Linked DNA regions of Callithrix jacchus. The protein of the gene in region 1 purifies or fractionates together with the protein of each later gene. This does not show direct contact. Links are inferred from orthologs where the notes say so. Each region holds a gene or a part of one and is shown in the gene's direction. Other genes may lie near its edges.

Region 1 (9,623 bases):
AATTTTTTGTATTTTTAGTAGAGATGGGGTTTCACTATGTTAGTCAGGCTGGTCTCAAACTCCTGACCCGGTGATCCACCCACCTCGACCTCCTAAAGTGCTGGGATTACAGGTGTGAGCCCCCACGCCCAGTTTAGTGTTTCCATTTCTAGGGGCTGTTATCCTGTACTGGTAGTCGTGAATTCAAAAGCATAACTTTCCTACTCTGGGCTTCAGTATTCTTATCAAAAGTGTAGATCAGGAATCTACCTCCTAGGATTTATCTGGGCCAAGACGTGTGATAAATAGAAGTTTCCCATTTTCTGAAGGAAGTGTTGTCTGTAAAAATAAAAGTAGTCAAGAGCTTTCACATGGAATCCTTCCTTGGCCATCCATCTTTTTTTGTTGTTGGTTTGTTTTTTTGAGGCGGAATCTCACTGTGTTGACCAGGCTGGAGTGCAGTGGTGAGATCTCACCTCACTGCAGCCTCCACCTCCCGGATTCAAGTAATCCTCCTGCCTCAGCCTCCCGAGTAACTGGGATTACAGGCATGCGCCACCATGCCCCGCTACTTGGCCATCCATCTAATTCAAAATTCAATCACCACCTTGATATTGTTACATCCCTTTCAGGCTATGCTGTTTTGTGTGTATGGGGGGTGGGGTCGCTAGGGTTTTTTTTTTTTTTTTTTTTTTTATGAGATGGGGTTTCACCATGTTGGCCAGGCTGGTCTCAAACTCCTGACCTCAAGGTGATCCACCCACCTTGGCCTCCCAAAGTGCTGGGATTACAGGCTTGAGCCACCACACCCAGCCTGTTTGTTTTTGTTTTTCTAGATGGAGACTTGCTCTGTCGCCTAGGCTGGAGTGCAGAGGCGCGATCTAGGCTCAAGGCAACCTTCATCTCCCCGGTTCAAGCAATTCTTTTGCCTCAACCTCCCGGGTAGCTGGGATTACAGGAGCGTGCCACCACACCCGGCTAATTTTTGCATTTTTAGTAGAGACGGGTTTCACCATGTTGGCCAGGCTGGTCTCGAACTCCTGGTTGCAGGTGATCTGCCAGCCTCGGCCTCCCAAAGTGATTTACAGGCGTGAGCCACCGTGCCCTGCCCAACCTATATTCTTTCTCCTATTACATTTCACTTAAAATATTTTACTTGTTTACCGTTTCTCTTCCATACTTTAAAAGATAAGCTCCAGTACGGCAGGGATTTTTGTCTGTTCTGTTCCTCGAGGTGTCTCCAATGCATAGAAGAGTGCCCGGAACACAAATATTTGCAAAATGAATGAAGTTGTACCTGCAAGGAGACTAGCAGTTACCTGGCACCTAGGGAGTGCTCAGTGAGAGGGAACCCAACGTTATTTTACATTAGTCTTCCTCTTAGGAATGGAGAGACGCCAACGGTTGGTTAAATCCTTGGTTAAATCCGGTATGGAACTAAATCGGTGTAGCCGAAATCTTCTAACACTACAAATCCCAGAAAGCCTCGCGATGCCTTAATCCTTTCTTTCCCACCGTGCCCCGCGCGGCGCAGGCGCTGTTACTCGGGGTGAATCTCGGGAGCTGAAACTACACCTCCCAGGAAGCTGGGCGGTCGATGGTTTGTTTCCGGCAGCAAAGCCCCAGGAAGGTGGGATCTAAAGCTGGTGGCCTACGGAGGAAGCTCTTAATTGGTCAGGATATGAGACTGACGGCTGCATTAACTAATAGAAAAGAGATACTGCCGAAGGGGCCCGTCCACAGAAGGGAGCAGGCCACGATACAAGCAGTACACGACCGAAGGCGGAGGACCCGTCGCCCATGAAGCTAATCTTTGAACTGTCTCCGCCCGCCTCCCGCCTTGATTTGTGATCCTAGGCCCTTTGGGGCTCGTCTGACCCAGCTAGCCAGATCCCGGACCCAAACCATGTTCCCCGTGAAGGTGAAAGTGGAGAAATCAGGTGAGGACCCCAATTTCGGGGGCCTGTCGGGAGCATCGGGTTGACAGTGTGGGAGTCCCGTAGAAGGGAGTATTGAGGAAATGGGACTACGCGACTTCTCCCTGCAGCCACCTGACAATCGCTGTATCAGGCAGCGAGCGTTGCCTACCACCCTCATCCCCGCTGGGTCTGTGCTTGAAGTCGCCTTGAGATTGAATGATGGTGGCTCAGGCAGTGCGGTGCGTGGTAAGACCTGGGGAATCCTGAGCCGGTAACTCTGAGAAGGGCCCTTTCTTTCCTCTTTTTTATTTAACATTTTAAAATATTTAAGTAGAGATGAAGGATCGCCATGTTTCCCAGGCTGGTCTCTAACACTGGCCTCAAGCGATCCTCCCGTCTCAGCCTCCCAAAGTGTTGGGATTACAGGCGTGAGCCTCCGCGCTCGGCCGAAAAATCCGCTTTTCTTGGCTCCCCCTCGGTTTCCCCATTTCCAGCAGTGGTCAGAGTCACACATTTTGCTGTGCGTCTGAAGTATAGGCACTGTTCATCCTCACAGTCACTATATTCCAGTAATCCTAGGAAGTAGGAATTGTGGTCGATGTGGAAACTGAAGCTCAGAAAGAGGTCATTTTGGGTTGGGCCAGAGCTGACGGGATCCCAGGCCTGGCATGGTGAGAGCAGTGGGAGGGGTACAGAATTTAGACACAAAGGTAATAATAGTACAATGATGTAGGATGTCAGATAGCAAAAGTGTTATCAAAACAAAGTGGGAGGCCGGGTGCTATGGCTTGTGCCTGTAATCCCATCACTTTGGGAGCCCAAGGCCTGGAGATCACTTGAGGTTAGGAGTTTGAGACCAGCCTGGCCAACATAGCAAAATGCTGTCTCTATTAAAAAAAAAAAAGAAAAAGGATTTCAACATGAATTTTTTAAAAAAAAGAGCAAAAAAAAAAAAAAAATGCCAGGTGTGGTGGCATGAGCCTGTAGTCTCAGCTACTCAGGAGGCTGAGGCAGGAGGATCGCTGGAGCCAGGGAGGCGCAGGTTGTAGTGGACTGAGATCACACCATTGCACTCCCCCAGTGAACTGAGATCACGCCATGGCACTCCAGCCTGGGTAACAGAGTGAGACCCTGTCTCAAAAAAAAAAGAAAGAAAAGTGAAGGGAGTCTGACTACAAATGATGGTGAGGGAAGGTATACACCTGTGAGTACCAGTCTGAGAAGTGCAGACTCCACCCGTGGGTGCTATGGAGTTATGGAAGTTTCCAAGCAGGGGAGGATCAGGGTCAGGTTTGTTATTTTTCAGGAAGATTCCCCTGGCCACCTGTGAAGGGTGGATCAGAAGGGAAACTGAGGCAGGGAGCCCAGGGGGAGCAAAGGACAGGACCAGGATGTGTAGAATAGGGAGGAGGTGGGTGGGAGAGACACTGGGGAGGCCGAGTGGACAGGCCATGAGGTTGCTGGGCTGAGGTAGGGGAGGGAGAGGGGTATCCATGGTGAGGTACAGGGAGGGACTTGGGGACAGTGAGGCCACCCTTGAGACAGAGGCTTCAGGCCCAGGTCGGGGGTTCAGGAGAGAAGCTGGGCCTGGGGAGAGTTGTAGGGGTGATCTCTACCCTCTGCATCCACCCAAGGCTTTGCTACAATCTCAGTTGCCCCCTTCCCCACCCTCATGCTGTTTCTCCTCTGAGTTATGTCTGAATGCCCTGTGTCTGAATCCCTGGGCATCTCAAGAAGTCCCAGGACTGGCCAGGCAATTTCCCAGGTGTCCCCTCCAGGTTCTGAGCACTAGAGCCAGAGCTCCCACCAGTAAGAAGGGCAGAGCAAATACCCCTCAAAGGTAGAAGATTGTAACATCATCACTTCCTCAAGTTCTGTGATGACAGGAGGTAGCCACAGGCTGACAGGGCAGGAAGGTGGGCCTAGATCTCATTTCCTGAGTGGGGAAAGAAAAGCCCAAACAGGATGTTTTAGGTGAAATCTCCCAATTTTTAAATGTCAGCTCATTCAGATTTAATTCAGATTTAAAATTATACCACTGTTTGGCCAGGCATGGTGGCTCACACCTGTAATCCCAGCACTTTGGGAGGCAGAGACAGGCGGATCACAAGGTCAGGAGTTGGAGACCAGCCTGATCAACATCGTGAGATTCCATCTCTTTGCAATTGTTTTTGTTATAAATTTATATTACATTAAAACAAAAAAAATTTTTTTTTAGACCGAGTTTTGCTCTTATTGCCTAGGCTGGAGTGCAATGGCGTGATCTTGGCTCACCGCAACCTCCGCCTCCTGGCTTCAACCAATTCTCCTGCCTCAGCCTCCCGAGTAGCTGGAATTACAGGCATATGCCAACACGCCCAGCTAATTTTGTATTTTTAGTAGAGATGAGGTTTTTCCATTTTGGTCAGGCTGGTCTCGAACTGCTGACCTCAAGGTGATTCACCCACCTCATCCTTCCAAAGTGCTGGGATTACAGGCATAAGCCACCATGCCCAGCCCTAAAACAAATTTTTTTAAAACCCAAGGCTCCTAAGCTAAGGTGATTGGCCTTACCTCCTATCACAGAGTGATCATGTGTGACAGCTCTGGAACTAAGAGCTCTTGGCATCACTCCAGCCATCTCTGTCTGCTGCACCCTTTCAGGCTGCCTGGGCCTGGCTCTGAGATTGGCTGGGGCAGAGGACACTCATGCCTTTCCCTGGCCCAGTCAGCTGCCCACCTAGCTGGGGCCTAGGAGCTGACTCCTGCTGGGTCCCCTCTTGCCTCAGAGCTGGAGATGGCCAAAGCCCGGAACCAACTGGACGCCGTCCTGCAGTGTCTGCTGGAGAAGAGTCACATGGACAGGTGGGCCAGCGTGGGGTCAAGGCCCAGGCACCCTGGCAGGTCGGCCCTCTGATCCTGGGTGGATTGGGTGGGACCCCAGAGGCTGACTTGGGGAGGAAGGTATCTAATGGAGAGGCCGCTCAGTGCCTTCCTTCTCTGGGGCCCTGGAACCCTAGGCTGAGAGATCTTTTCTGCCTCTAGGGAGCGTCTGGATGAGGAAGCTGGGAAAACCCCCTCAGACACCCACAATAAGTGAGTTTTTCTGACTGGATGTGGAGCTGAGAGTTTGTAGTTGGTAACTTTTTCCCTTACCCAAGCCCTGACCACTCTGCCCAGTGCTTCCTCCATCTCGGTCCTGACCAGTTCACCTGTATGAAGACCCTGCGTCAGGAGAAGCTTAGGTCCCCTCGTGGTTGCCACCTAGACCCCCATGGGTATGGGTGGAATAAAAGGCCCAAGGGGCAGGTGGGGTTCATGTGCATATCTCAGGTTTGATACCAGCGTCCCCAGGGTGCCCTCTGCAGGGTTTTGCACAGGCATTTGTCTGAGGGTCAACTTTCTTTCCCCACAGGGACTGCTCCATTGCATCCACTGGCAAAAGGTAAGGTGACAGGGTCCCAACCAGCTGACCAGAGGCTCCCAGCCCCTACCCCAGTCCTGACACTCCCCCCTCCCTACGCAGGCCTTCTGCCCGCTTCCCCCACCAGCGGAGGAAGAAGAGGAGGGAAATGGATGACGGGCTGGCTGAGGGAGGGCCACAGCGATCCAGTGAGTCGACTGGCCCGAGAGGGTAGGCAAGGAGCTGAGGGGCTATGCAAGGATGCTCACACACCTCCCATCCCCACCCTCCCAGACACGTATGTGATCAAGCTGTTCGATCGGAGTGTGGACTTGGCCCAGTTCAGTGAGAACACGCCGCTCTACCCGATCTGCCGTGCCTGGATGCGAAACAGCCCTTCTGTGCGCGAGCGTGAATGCTCTCCCAGCTCACCCCTGCCCCCGTTGCCTGAGGATGAGGAGGTGGGATGGGTGGTGGGCCCCAGCCCAGCAGCCTGATGCCAGGGCAATGGGTGGATAGGCACAAAGGATCCTCCCCGTAACCTAGTGGGGTAGATGGACACAGGTCCCTCACATGAATGCTGGATCAGGCCAGGCATACAGATGTGCACCCTTAGCCTGGGGTGTGGATGGAGGTCCCTAGGGAAGACATACGTAGCCACCTGGCCTGGGGGACAGGGAACAGGGTTGCCCTGGGTAGTTAGATATGAATCTCCAAGGTCAGGCGTTCCCAAGAGCCGAGGGTCTAGACGGGTCCTTAGTACCGACCTGTGGCCACCAGGCCTTGGGGAGCAGATGGGCTGGGCAGGAATGGATGGGGGTCTGTAAGCCATCTAGCCCAGGAGGGTAGACAAGGGTCCCGAGGACAGACATATTAGGGCCCTTCACACTGTCAAGAGTGGACAGAACTTCCTAGATGGCACAGATGTGACCCCCTAGGCAGGATTCCCTGAGGCAGGCAGACGTGACTCCCTGGGCTGACAGGTGTAGATGGGATCTCTGGGCTGGATAGGAGAAGACAGGGGTCCCCGGGCAGGCAGACCTGACTCCCTGGTTAGTTGAGGTGTCTGCCCTTCAGACATGCCTCCTGTCTGAGTCACTTAGTGTGCCCCTCATGCTGTTTGTTGCTGGGAAAGGAGGGATGAGTGTGGATTCCCAGCCCTCTGGTCTGACTCTCTTGGGCCTGGCTTGGGGCCCTTGTGTCCCCAGGGTTCAGAGGTCACCAACAGCAAGAATCGTGATGTGTACAAGCTGCCACCACCCACACCACCCGGGCCACCTGGAGATGCCTGTAGATCCCGCATCCCATCTCCGCTGCAGCCCGAGATGCAGGGCACCCCTGATGACGAGGTAAGTGCACCAGGCTGGCTCGAGGTTGTGGGGCACATGTGGTGGGGCTCAGACCTGACCACTCAGCCCTGCCTCTGTCCATGCAGCCCTCCGAGCCTGAGCCCTCACCCTCCACACTCATCTATCGCAACATGCAGCGTTGGAAACGCATCCGCCAGAGGTGAGCGTCCCCCAGCCTGCTTGCGCCTCCTCGGGCCTCTTGCAACTGCTGAGTCTTCCCTCTGCCTCCCCAGGTGGAAGGAGGCCTCTCATCGGAACCAGCTTCGTTACTCAGAAAGCATGAAGATCCTACGGGAGATGTATGAGCGACAGTGACTTTCCCAGCTCCCCCCACCCCAGTAAACATCTCCCAACTCCACACTGGTGTCTGTTCCAGTTCATCCTTCCTGGCCCAGACACAAAGCAGTTGGCAGAGCTCCAGCAAATTTATTGGGACAGTGAGCCTGGGAAAGTGACAGAGTCGTGGCAGGGAGAAAGGCTATGGGGAATCAGAGGGGGTGCTCGGTTGGGTCTTGAAGGAGAAGAGGTGGATGGGAGGTGGGTTGCCAAGGAGATTTCGTGTTGGAGACTTGGGGATCAAGACAAAGGGATGGGGTGGGGGGTCTAGTCAGAGTTGGGGAGGGGGCCTAGGACATCCATGCAGAGTCTGGGAAGGTTGGGGCAGGAGAGTCTGTACAATTTGGGATTGGATGTTCTGGTTGGCCTGGAATAGGTGTCCAAGAGTTGGGGCGGTCAGAAAAGAGTTCCAGAGCCTGGTGTGGCTGGCTGGAGTTTTATGGCAGAAAATGGGCTGGAGGGGCCAGTTGTGGATTGTCTGGTTGCAAGGGAAGGTTTGGGTCTTGGGAACCAGGCCCGGATGATCTGGAGCGGGAGGTCTGTGCAGTGTGGAACATTTGTGGCGTGGAGGCATTGTGCCTGACTGTCCTGGGGTTGGGGGAGGGCTGTCTACACCATAATTTGGTGTCAAAGTAGGGAAGGGATGGAAATATGGTACCCGGATATCTTTGTAGAATACTCAGAAGGAAGTAGAACCGTGGGGCTATATGCCAAGAAAGTGGGTCGGTGGGGCTGAGACTGTCGGCCGAGGGTTAGGGGAGTGCTGGTAGGGTCTGGAAGCCAGGGAGGTGTTGGTGTGAAGTCTGAAAGCTGGAGGAGGTGTGACAGTGAGGGTGTCAGAGGAAGGGGCTAGGTTATCAAGGCAGTGTCTAGGGTGGAGGTCAGGGCAGAATCCAGGAGTGGCTGAGAGGACAGTTCTGGGCGCGATCAGGACATCTGGCTGGGCGGAGTCAGATCAGCTTTAAAAGACGGAGCCTGAGGAGGCTCCCGGGGTGCGGGCGTGGCCCCGCCCCCTACTTGGCGGCGGCCGGTGGCGGTAGTGGGGCCTGGGCCGACGCTGGTGCGGCCTGGATGGACAGGACGCCCTCGGGGGACAGCGCGGACGTCACGGCAGCGGGATCCACGCCAGGAGGCAGGCGGTAGCGGCGGTGGAACTCCCGCGAGACGAATCCGTGCTCATCCTGGAGGGGAAGGAGGCTTGAGCGGCCCCGCCCCTCCGGCCCGGCGGCGCGCGTGCCCGCTCTAGCCCCGCCCCCGCCGCGGCTCACCGGGCGCTCCTCGTGGCGCGCGTGCACCTCCACGTGTTCGCCCACCACCTTGACAGCGATTTCCTCCGGCGAGAAGTGCTTCACGTCTAGCAGCACCGAGAAATGTCCGGGGTCTGTCGGCACCTGCGCGCAGTGAGCGCGGGTGGGACTGTCATCGGGCCATGCCAGGCTCGCGGGACCCACCCAGGGAAACCCCACCCCATCGGTTCCGTGCTGCAGCTCACTCTGGCCTCCCGAGCTCAGCAATCTGCTCTCCTACTGGGAATCACCCAGGACCTCTTCACCCCGAATAACGGGGATTAGCCCTCCTCCTGTAATATCTGGGATTGCGCTCTCCCCCGCAGTGATGAGGCTCCCTTCCCCTGCAAGGTCAGGAACCTCCGCCCTCCCCGGTGTCAGGGAATCCTCCGAAGTCACCACCATGCACCCCAGGGCACTGATTCCCCGGCTCCCTCTTCAGAGCCCCGGGTCCCTTCTCCCCCAGCCCCGACAAACTCGCCAAGATGCCCCTTCCCCCGTCTCCAGAATCCTCTGCCTACTTTCCCACTCCGGTCAAGGGACCTCGGCAGCGACTGGTAGCCTTCCCCCACTTCAGAGTGGCCAGGACCCCTTGCTCAAGTCTCAGGCCTTTCCCTTCCTGTTTTGGAGACATGGAGCCACTGCATGAAGTCTCCCAACTCTTCCCCGAGACTAGGAACATTCCTTCCCCTCGGGCAACCTTTAACGCCTCCTTTTACCCAGATTTCCCGGGTCACCAGCCTCCTTCAGATTCAGCAAAACTCCCCTTAGAGCGACCCAGGCCTTCCACTCCCTGGAGAGCTAATGAGACTCCCCAGTCCCCCGACACACACACACCCAAGAGCGACTGGGACCTCCCACTCGATGCAGTGAGCGGGCCTCTGAGATTCCCAGGAACTCCGGAAGCCCCTCGGAGCTGCCGGACTCTCCACCCCGCCAAGGCCAACGAACATTCTGTCACACGCCCCCCACCCCAGGCTGACCCAGACCCCCCGGCATTGCTTGAGTTCGCCCCTCCCCAGGCCTGGCACCTGGGCAACCGGCAGCGCCACGCTGGGTGCGCGCAGGTAGTAGGGGGCGAGCGTGGTGGGGCAGAGCGCAGCCAGTTCGGCCTCCAGCAGCCCCTCGCCGAAGCGCTGGTCAAAGAGGCGTCCGGGCGCCGAAAGTCCGGGCAGTGGGGCCGAGGCGCGGCGCAGCCAAGACGGCTGCACAGGCACCGGGATCTCCATCCTGCTCCTCGCGTTGCAGTGCCCCTGCGTGCGCAGCCGCCGATTTATAGTGAGCCCTGTGCCGGCCCCTCGAAGGGCTGCCCAGGGACACTGGGACCGTGGCCAGACTCAGCCATTAGGAGAGCCTTATTTAGAAACCCAAA
Region 2 (9,523 bases), on another chromosome or scaffold:
GGGGTGGGGTGGGTGGGTCAGCGTCCACACTGGCGTTGCCTCTGGTTCCCCCCAGAGGGGCCCAGGTGTGTGAGCCCCATGGGCGCATGGACTCCCTCGCCTCCTGCTCTCAGTGCTGGTCACCCTCCCTTCTTGCCTCATGCTGTTGTGGGTGTGGGCTCCCCCTGACAGGGCTCCAGGGCGCAGGGTTACCAGGTAACCCTGGCTACCTGGTCGTGACCATACGATGGTTTTCACCATGTGGCTGTCACCCTGCTGGCTGGGGGAGCAGCTGCTGTCACTTTGTCTGTGCTTTTGTCTTTTGAGAGCAGTTTTTGGTTTCAGGCCTCTTTTTAGTACCGTGGAAGGGTACAGTTTCATCCTCATCCATATCATTAAAAAGAAGTAAAAGAGGGTGAAGGGAAAAATAGAAACGTGCCGAGGGGCCCTGTATGGAAATCTGATCCGCCCCCTTGTTCACCTCCACCGTTAGCCCTTTGTGTGTGGTTTGGGGGTCACGCTCTGCCCTGTCCTGTTCTTGGCTTGCTTGGGTCATCCAAAGTTACTTGTTGCTTGTGTCTAATTGGAGAAGATGCCTGTGGCTGATGAGAGGAAGGTGAGCCATGTTCAGAACAGGCGTGGTGGTGCCGTCACTGTGTAGGATGCGCCCACCCCCGGGCGTCTTTCCTGCTCACTGCGGTTAATGGAATTCAGCAGTGGCTGCGGATGGCGAGCAGATGGTGGGCGTGGCACCCTCGCCGTGTGGGAGGGGACTGACTGACTGAATTGTCTTTTTTGACTGTAGGTAATTGGTACGCCTCAGAGACCAGCAGCATCAAACACCCTCGTGGTAGGAAGCCCACACACCCCCAGCACTCACTTTGCCTCTCAGAACCAGCCTTCCGACTCCTCACCTTGGTCTGCCGGGTGAGCACTTCCCTCTGGACCCTTAGAGTTGTAGGATTGCTTGCGGTTCGCAGCTCCACGTTCTCCTGGGCCACGCGTGTCACATAGTTGTGCGATGGGGCTCCCACGCGCATTGATGTCAGCCTCCGAATCATACCCACCCATCATCCTGCCCTGCACAGGTGTGCGGCCAAGGCGCACTGCCTTGGTCATAGAGAAGTCAGGCTGGGCACCGCCCACCCCACTTGGTGTCTGGTATAGTGAGTGGGTGCTCTTTGAGGGGCTGGCAGCTCTTGACCAAGACAGGTAGAAGCTGGCCTTGTTCTCGCTGCAGGACTTGAGACTTTTCCTCGTCTGCGCTGGGAGCACATGGGACGGATTTCAGCCTCTGACTCTGAATTCAGCCTCTACGGCCCCGGGAGTTATGGCCCCCGCGGGTGGTCCCACCAGAGCTGCTCCTTCCACTAAAGCAAAATCTGACGAGCTCTGTCTTTCCTTAAAACACACAACACACACACACACACACACACACACACACAAACACACGCGGCTACAAAAGTATGCCTGTCTCAGCGCCTAAAGCTTCACCAGTTAGGAACCAAACCTTGAGAGGCCTTTCCTTCGATGTGGGGACTGACCAGAGTGTACGCAGTTGGGTTGTCCCCTGACCTGAAGCACACTTAGTAGTTTGCACCTGTTGTCAGGCGGCCATCACAGCTGTATGAGATTATAGCCTGCTGAAATTTGTCCTAAAAATTCCCCAATTTACACCGAGACGTCCCATCGTTCCTGTTGCCAGTTGCCCTCTTTAGAAAAGTGGTGCTTGGTGTACTGACATGCCTCCCACACACTGATTCAGGCCCTGGGAACGCCTCCTGTTTTTCCCGACACTTCGAAGGATGGAGGTGCAGCCTGCCGGGGAGACACTCACCTTCTGACCTGCAGAAGCACTGGGCCTGGGGGCTCGGCTGGGGGTCCTGGCCTGCTCACGTGTTGGATCTGCTGCACCTGTGGGACGTGGCCCCCTTTTGTGCAGCTCATTGGAGCTCTCAGGTACAAGCATTCCTCGATTCTGCTGATGCTCAAGAGTGCTGACGGTCGCTTCTTTTTTCCTTTGTATTTTGAAGGAAGCGCAACAGGAAAGGAGAGAAGAATGGCAAGGGCCTGCGGCATTTCTCCATGAAGGTCTGCGAGAAGGTGCAGAGGAAAGGGACCACATCCTACAACGAAGTGGCGGACGAGCTGGTTGCAGAGTTCAGCGCTGCTGACAACCACATCTTACCAAACGAGTCAGTAAGTGTGTGCTGGGGGCTCGAGAGGCTGAGTAGCCGAACCCGACAGTGTGGCATGTTTCACCCTTTTAAAATTGGGAACAGTTAAAAACATGCAGAAAATTCCAAGTACAACATGAAAGAATTTTTCCCACCCCATTTGCTGGCAGGATGCTGTGTCATCTCCAGTGAGTGAGCAGGTGGGCTGATTCTGCTCTTCCACCAGCTTCCCCTGCCCAGAAATGCAGTAACGCCTTCCTCACCCGCTGGGTTCCACCCTCGACAGACCCCAGCTCCCGTCCTGGCACACACTCGGGCTTCGCACAGCCCTGTCTCGGCCTGCATCATCTGTAGGGTGGGAGCACTCCCCGAGGACATGTTGCGGTGACAGCTCCATGAGCGGGGTGCCCCTTTGAGCCAGTGCACATGGCCTACAGTTTCAGGTGGGATCCACAGGCTCTTTTGGATCATTTGGAAACCACTCCCTGTCATCCCCAGGCTTATGACCAGAAGAACATAAGACGGCGCGTCTACGATGCCTTAAACGTGCTGATGGCTATGAACATCATCTCCAAGGAGAAGAAGGAGATCAAGTGGATTGGTCTGCCCACCAACTCGGCTCAGGAATGTCAGAACTTAGAGGTGCCCTTCAGCCTTCATTTCCCTTCTGGTCTGTGTAGATGTTTTTGTCATTGGTCACTCAGTCGGGTCTGGGCTCCGTGTGCTTGTGCTCTTTGTGTCTGGCTGGCAGACGGTCATGTAGACAGATGTCTCCCTGCGTTTCTCAGTCTCGGCTGTTGGGAGGGAGCGTGGCTGGCCCAGGCCCACTAGAGTGTGTTAAACTCGACTGTAGGTTAATTCTGAATCCTTGTTTGGAGGATTTTTTTTTTCCTTTTAGATAACATAGTTAAATCCAAGAAATGAGAGGGGAGAAGGTATAGTTTACAATCAAAGAAAAACTCACCTGTATCTCGTAGCACCTGCTATGTCTAGATTTGTCCATATCCCTTCGATTAAATTCAAGGTAAACATAGGTAACACTGCGAGGATATGGGTTTTATTTTAAACGCTGTAGGGAACAATTGTGATGATTCTCTGCTTGGGTGGTTTGTTTTTGAAGGTGGAAAGACAGAGGAGACTTGAAAGAATAAAACAGAAACAGTCTCAACTTCAAGAACTTATTCTACAGGTAAGAGAATACTTTGGAGGTGGGTAATTTTTATTTTACTCACTTAGTTTTATAACAGCAGTGTACCAGCTTGGGTTACACTCCTGTGTGGTAAATCAAATGACTGCTTTAAGATTCTGAATGTAAATTTCATGAACATCCTTGAGTTCATCTCATGGGTGTGGCAACGTGGGCCTGGTTCCCAGAGCGAGGTTGTGCATATGCATGCGTCTGTGCCTGTGTCTGCCTGCGTGTGTGCCTGTGTACATGTGCCTGTACGTGTGTGTGCATATGTGCATGTATGCATGTGTGTATATGTGCGTATCCCGTGTCACAGTGTCTAAACAGGCAAAACACAGTTGGAGGGATGACTTCATGCAAAAGCAACATTTGGAAAATCCCCTCAGAGGTGCTTAACCCAAGGCCCAGGCCCAGGCGAGGCCTCCAAAACTGTGGTGGGCACTGCGCACCTGGGTCTTGACAGTGCTGGTCAGGGCTCTGGAGCTGGCCTCCCCTACCTCCCATTGATTGCTGAGGGTAGGGGGTACCCCTGGGGGCTCCGTGTCTGGCGTGGAGGGGGTTGGATGCAAGGTGCTCGTTGTAGAGCTGGCTGCTGCCCTAACAGAGGTATGCTTAAGCCCTCCCAGAGGGGACGGTGTGGCGGCCGTGGTGATGGAGGCTCGTGGGTGGGAGCTCCTTGGGGGCTGTGGGGACTGTCAGGAGGGACGGTTCTGCCTGCCAGTGTCCTAGTGCCTGCCAAGCGGGGTGAGATCCAAGGTGGCCGGGAGTGGAAGGGATTCTCCTGGCTCTACATTAAAGCAGGGAAGCTCTTTCCAAGTGGAACACTTGGTTTGGGGCCCTGACGGCCTGGCCCTAGGTTCAGCCTTGCAGGGCCCATTCTCCCCGAGAAGCACCTCTGCAGCACACGGGCCCTTTCGTGTTCCACCTTCCGGAGTGGGCAAAGTCCTCAGCACAGCACCCCTTCCAAGGCTGTCACCCCATTGGTGCCACTGTGTGGGTGGTCTCAGAGTTCACGGACAGCAGGGAATCGACTTCCAAGACTGGTGTTCAGTTGAGCACCCTTGTCACAGAGGATGCTTTTATCCCAGGCACAGATGGCTGTGCACCTGCTCTCGCTCAGTTCTCCCCTCAGGATGCCATTTCCTGACTGCATTTCTCCAGGGGTTGCAGGGGTCAGCACCTAGCGGCCGGTGCTGGCCTTTCAAATGTCCAAGGCAACTCATCGCTGTTGTGTGGGCACAGGGAGGGCTGTGAGGACCCCTTGAGCACAGGGTCTGCGTTCTTGTGCCGCCATGTGCCACCTGGCTCCTCTTTATTTAGCAAATTGCCTTCAAGAACCTGGTGCAGAGAAACCGGCATGCAGAGCAGCAGGCCAGCCGGCCGCCGCCACCCAACTCGGTCATCCACCTGCCCTTCATCATCGTCAACACCAGCAAGAAGACTGTCATTGACTGTAGCATCTCCAACGACAAGTAGGTTGTGGGTAGGCAGACGTTTCCAGACTGTGCGTGTCTTTTTGAGGGAGCTGACCCTGTTGGGATTGTCCCTAGGACAAGTTTAAATGTTGCACAAATTGCTGGGGTAGCTGTCCATCATGGGGTGGCGGGAGGCAGCTGCCGGGCAGCTGGTGGAAAGTCTGTGTCCCAGGAGCGCGTGCCTTAGGGCGTGTCCTCCTGGAGAGAATGGGCCTTGATTTGCTTCTTATCTCATTTACTTCTGAGTTTATAAATTCTGTGAGGAGATGCCGAGGACTGGGATCCTGAAGGCTGTGTGTGGCGGGCAGCAGGTCAGCTGTCCTGGCTCTACCCCAGCATGCACTGCCTCTGCGGGGAGACCCTGTCTTTCTGACTGTGCCTTTCCCCTTCAGATTCGAATATCTGTTTAATTTTGATAACACATTTGAAATCCACGATGACATAGAAGTGCTAAAGCGGATGGGCATGGCGTGCGGGCTGGAGTCCGGGAGCTGCTCTGCCGAAGACCTTAAAATGGCCAGAAGTCTGGTCCCAAAGGCTCTGGAGCCATACGTGACAGGTCAGCGGTTCCCAGATAACCCGATGTGGCTAACCAGATAACTCCATTCCTAGATAACCCGGTGTGAGGAATGGGCCCAGCCTTGGATAGCTCCCTCCCCTCCTGGCTCGGGGTGTGTCTTGCCGAGATTGGGCCCAAGTACGGAGGGCCAGGAGCAATGACAGAGGGGCTGTGAGGGGCATGGGTGTGGGGTTGCGGCTGGGGCGGGGTCCAGCCAATGCCCTCACTTGCTGGATACAGGGCCTTGAGTCTGCAGGAGGCTTATGTGGATTTCCCATATGGCTTGTGTGAGGAGGTGCTAAGTCAGGATTTTACCCTTCAAGTAGGCCCAGAAATAGGAGAAGCTGAGATTCTTTGAGGAGTGCAGTTGGATTGCTGATCCTCCCTCCCCCCACTGACAGTAGCTGATTGGTCACTAGGGCAAAGTGACCAAGAAAAAGCATTTCAGCATCATTGGCAGCCTGCTCTGGAGGGCCGGGAGCACAGGAGCTTTTGTTGAAGGGACTTTTTTCTGATTCTGGTGAATTCTTTCCGTGGGGCCGTAGGGTCCCAGCCTAGATAGGGTGGCTTTAAGGTGAGAAATTGTGAAGGTGCTGTATCTGCCAATCCTTTTCTTGTCAGCCTAAACTTTGGGTGTGGACTTACTCCCTGAGAGGGTCAGAGATTCCTCCCTGAGCTCCTAAACCATCCCAGATCTTGTGAAAATCTGGCTGGTCCATATCATCAGCTGAGAGTGGGGTCTGGCTGCCCATGTGGGCTGGGCCCTGACCCGCCCTCTGTCGTGTGCTTCATGGAGCTGCCAGGATGGGCTGTAGGAAGAGGGTTTCAGCTTGTTCCTTGATCATTCTCTTTCATGATGGGTATGATACTGACACAGCAGCACACATGTGCTGTTTGTAAGTCAGTGTGTGCAGGTATTGCAAGGCTGTTCATGCCTTTTTAGGGAAGACAGGCTATGTGACTGCACAGCGGGATGTCCTCTGTGGCACAGTGCAGAAAATCCTGGACAAGTGAAGGATGTCTGGAAGCTTCCCCAGCTGTCCATCCTGCGGCACTGCGGGTTGTCTGTGTGTCTTGTGTTGTTTCTGTTTCGTGACCATTTGCTTCATTTTCTTTCCTTTTTCAGAAATGGCTCAGGGAACTGTTGGAGGTGTGTTCATCACGACAGCAGGTTCCACATCTAACGGCACGAGGTTCTCCGCCAGGTGACAGCGGTTGAGGGTGTGGGAGAAGCATTGTCTGGGCCTCCTGTGGGGCCCAGGGGCCAAGGCAGGGTGGACGTCTCAGATGTGGCCATCAGGTCTGAGGCTGCTCCGACGTGCTTGTCTTCCCAGGCAGTGGCCCCACCGGCTTTCCCTGTGTGGAGAGCTGCTTTTCCTAGTTGGTTTCTCCTCACTAAAAACTAAAAGTAATACGTGGTGGTTGTTTTTTTTTTTGTTAAAGTATCACCTAAAAAGTAAGTAGGAATGAAAACCACCCAAATCCTTCTGTCCCGGGCAGCCCAAATAACAGCAAGTATTTCTAGTTTTTTTCTCCTATTTTTCAGAACACGTCTGCGGTCACAGTGCATTTGTATTTCAGAACGCATTTGTAGTCATGGCGCATGTATTTTTCAGAACGCATCTGTAATCACAGCACACATATTTTTCAGAACGCATCTGCAGTTACAGTCCACGTATTTTTCAGAGCAGTCACAGTGCACATATTTTTCAGAATGCATCTGTGGTCACAGCGCACGTATTTTCCGAACATGTTTGTGGTCACAGTGCATGTATTTTTCAGAATACGTTTGTGGTCACAGTGCACTTTCTTTTCAGAACACATCTGTGGTCAGAACGCACATGTTTTCTTCCATGCATTTTCACCTTACATTTTATTGTATTTATATATATTATTTCTGTGCTATTAAAGGGCCTTTATTTAAATAAATTCGTATTTAATCTTTGACCTGCCATCCCATAGGGTAGAATGATGTCCCTAGGTATTTATCTTGGTGCTTCAAAGAGAAATATAGCTTTTACAACAGATATTAACAAAACAAAGATTTTATTGACTTTTATATTGCATTGTGATACAATATGTAGTATTACTTTATATTAATCCTAAGTGTTCATAAAATCTTTAATTGGAAATCTAAGAACTTAGTAACCTGTGGGTCCAGATAACAGGGCACGACGTAGTGAGTTGCAGTGCGCATGAGCCTGTGTTGGAATGTGCTGTGGCCGTGAGATGTGACAAGTGTGTCAGGGGTGCATGTAGCTTCCTGGCCAGCTCTGGGGTTACAAAGCCAGTCTCTTCCAGTCTTGGCCTCACCTGTAAGGTGAGACTGGTGATGAGTCGTTGATCTGTGGCAAGGATCAGTGAAGTGGTGATAGAAGAAGGGACTTGTCACAGTGCCTGGTAACAAGGTTTTGACCGAGGCCGGTTCTCTTTCTCTTCAGCTGTGTGTGAATGTGTAGGGGTCAGTCTGTAAACATGTTTAACACTGGTTCTTCCATGAGGTGAAATGTGGGTGTTTTTAGGACTTTCATCATCAGATAATCCTTTTCATGGATGTGATTCTCAGACTTGTCAGTTTTTCATAACAATGGAAACAAAGCTACTACCATTTCTTATGAAATACCAATTTTCAAAGTGGCATGATGGGACATTTTATGAAAGTACCTCATGAAAGGACATCTAGGCAGTTCCCAGTTATCAGGAAAACTACAGTGAGCAGCTTTGCGGCTGAATTTCTCACCATTTCTGACGTGTTTCTAAGATACAGAATCACTTCATCAAAGGCATATTGACTCATTTTCATTGTAGTTAATAAATACTATTAAAATATATTAAAATATATGCATATATTTTTATGCAGTTGGAAAACATTTTTAAATCTTGGAACATTGTGAGCTGTGATTAGTGGTAGGTTTTTGTGGTGCTGCAAACCCTCTGGGTTCCCAGTCCATGCTGCTAGATTCTAGCCGTGCTCTGGACTACATCCTGTCCTGCCCCAGGCTCTCTTTTTTTCCTGTTGCTGGTTATGAGTGAAAGTCCTGGAGGGAGGGATCTAACAGTTTTTCAGTTCATTGCCTCTGGGCACTGCTCCTGATGGAATGATGAGTGAGGGAGAGGGAGCTTGTGGCTCTGCTCAGCCTCCTATTTCTGGCATTGTGGATTCCAGGAGACAGGGTCCGAGGAGAACCAGACGGGGATGGAGTGAGTGCCAGAGTGCTGGCGTGCTGTAGTGCAGACACTCATGACCTCCCAGTTCTGTGTGTGTGACTGACAAAACTGACACCTGTTCGGCGCAGCCTGTCCTTCAGCCGCAGGCCCTGAGGTGAGGGGAGGCCGAGTGGACTGCTCTGCACTGACTGCCTCATCCGCCTCCTGCCTTGCAGTGACCTGACCAACGGTGCAGATGGGATGCTGGCCACAAGCTCCAACGGGTCTCAGTACAGTGGCTCCAGGGTGGAGACCCCAGTGTCCTACGTCGGGGAGGATGACGAGGATGACGATGACTTCAATGAGAATGACGAGGATGACTGACGTCCTCCCCACTTCAAATTCAGCTTCAGGAAAACGTTTAGGGAAAAGAAACTTTTTTTTTTAATGTGGGTTTTCTGTTTCCTTTTGGCCTACTCCCAAGAAGATATTGGTAAGCTATTGAATTTAGATATGCACCTCTGATAAGCAAGGGTTGTTTACCGTAGGATTAGGACGTGCTGTGGATGTGTGTTTTGATACCAGTGTGCTGATGCAGAGCGTTTATTTACTTTTTAGGATTTTGTGTTTTCATTTTTCTGGTTTTCTCTAAGTGCAGAGTTCAGTTTCGCCCCTGAACAGTTTTTGCTGAGTCTGCTGAAGAAATTATATTTCATCCACATCCATGAAAATAAAACACCCTCCTGTGGTGGATGGTGAGCACCTGGTGCCATTTATTTGCCGTGAGTCTGGACGGCACCCCCGCTGGTGGATAGCAGGACTCTGTGGATTGTTCCATTTGGTCAGTGGTACTGTGTCCAGAGCCCCAAGCAAACAGCAGAATTCGACTTTCTAAACAATAAACTTCATCAACCTTATTGACTTTATTTTCCCTTAAATTATATTGACTGTTGTGATTCCATCAAGCTTATCAACTCTTTTCTCTCCCTATTTGCAG

What was found.
Region 2: the proteins of LIN37 (region 1) and TFDP1 purify together in Homo sapiens (co-immunoprecipitation; 3 studies listed by BioGRID and IntAct, with this or other methods). This does not show direct contact. The link is inferred for Callithrix jacchus from reciprocal best matches to the Homo sapiens genes LIN37 and TFDP1.

Annotation. Positions count from the first base shown.
Region 1 is NC_133523.1:31,931,629-31,941,251, forward strand, and holds LIN37 (protein lin-37 homolog), read left to right. Parts: upstream 1-1,714; 5' UTR 1,715-1,885; coding exon 1,886-1,919; intron 1,920-2,026; exon of another isoform or gene 2,027-2,114; coding exon of another isoform or gene 2,115-2,144; intron 2,145-4,666; coding exon 4,667-4,742; intron 4,743-4,922; coding exon 4,923-4,973; intron 4,974-5,292; coding exon 5,293-5,322; intron 5,323-5,403; coding exon 5,404-5,489; intron 5,490-5,574; coding exon 5,575-5,741; intron 5,742-6,488; coding exon 6,489-6,629; intron 6,630-6,715; coding exon 6,716-6,789; intron 6,790-6,862; coding exon 6,863-6,944; 3' UTR 6,945-6,987; downstream 6,988-9,623. Other genes in the region: HSPB6 (heat shock protein beta-6), read right to left, coding at 7,979-8,146, 8,234-8,356, 9,283-9,480.
Region 2 is NC_133502.1:29,102,164-29,111,686, forward strand, and holds part of TFDP1 (transcription factor Dp-1), read left to right. Parts: intron 1-784; coding exon 785-906; intron 907-2,012; coding exon 2,013-2,178; intron 2,179-2,654; coding exon 2,655-2,798; intron 2,799-3,276; coding exon 3,277-3,345; intron 3,346-4,665; coding exon 4,666-4,817; intron 4,818-5,212; coding exon 5,213-5,379; intron 5,380-6,505; coding exon 6,506-6,584; intron 6,585-8,762; coding exon 8,763-8,910; 3' UTR 8,911-9,523. UniProt on the Homo sapiens protein: Can stimulate E2F-dependent transcription.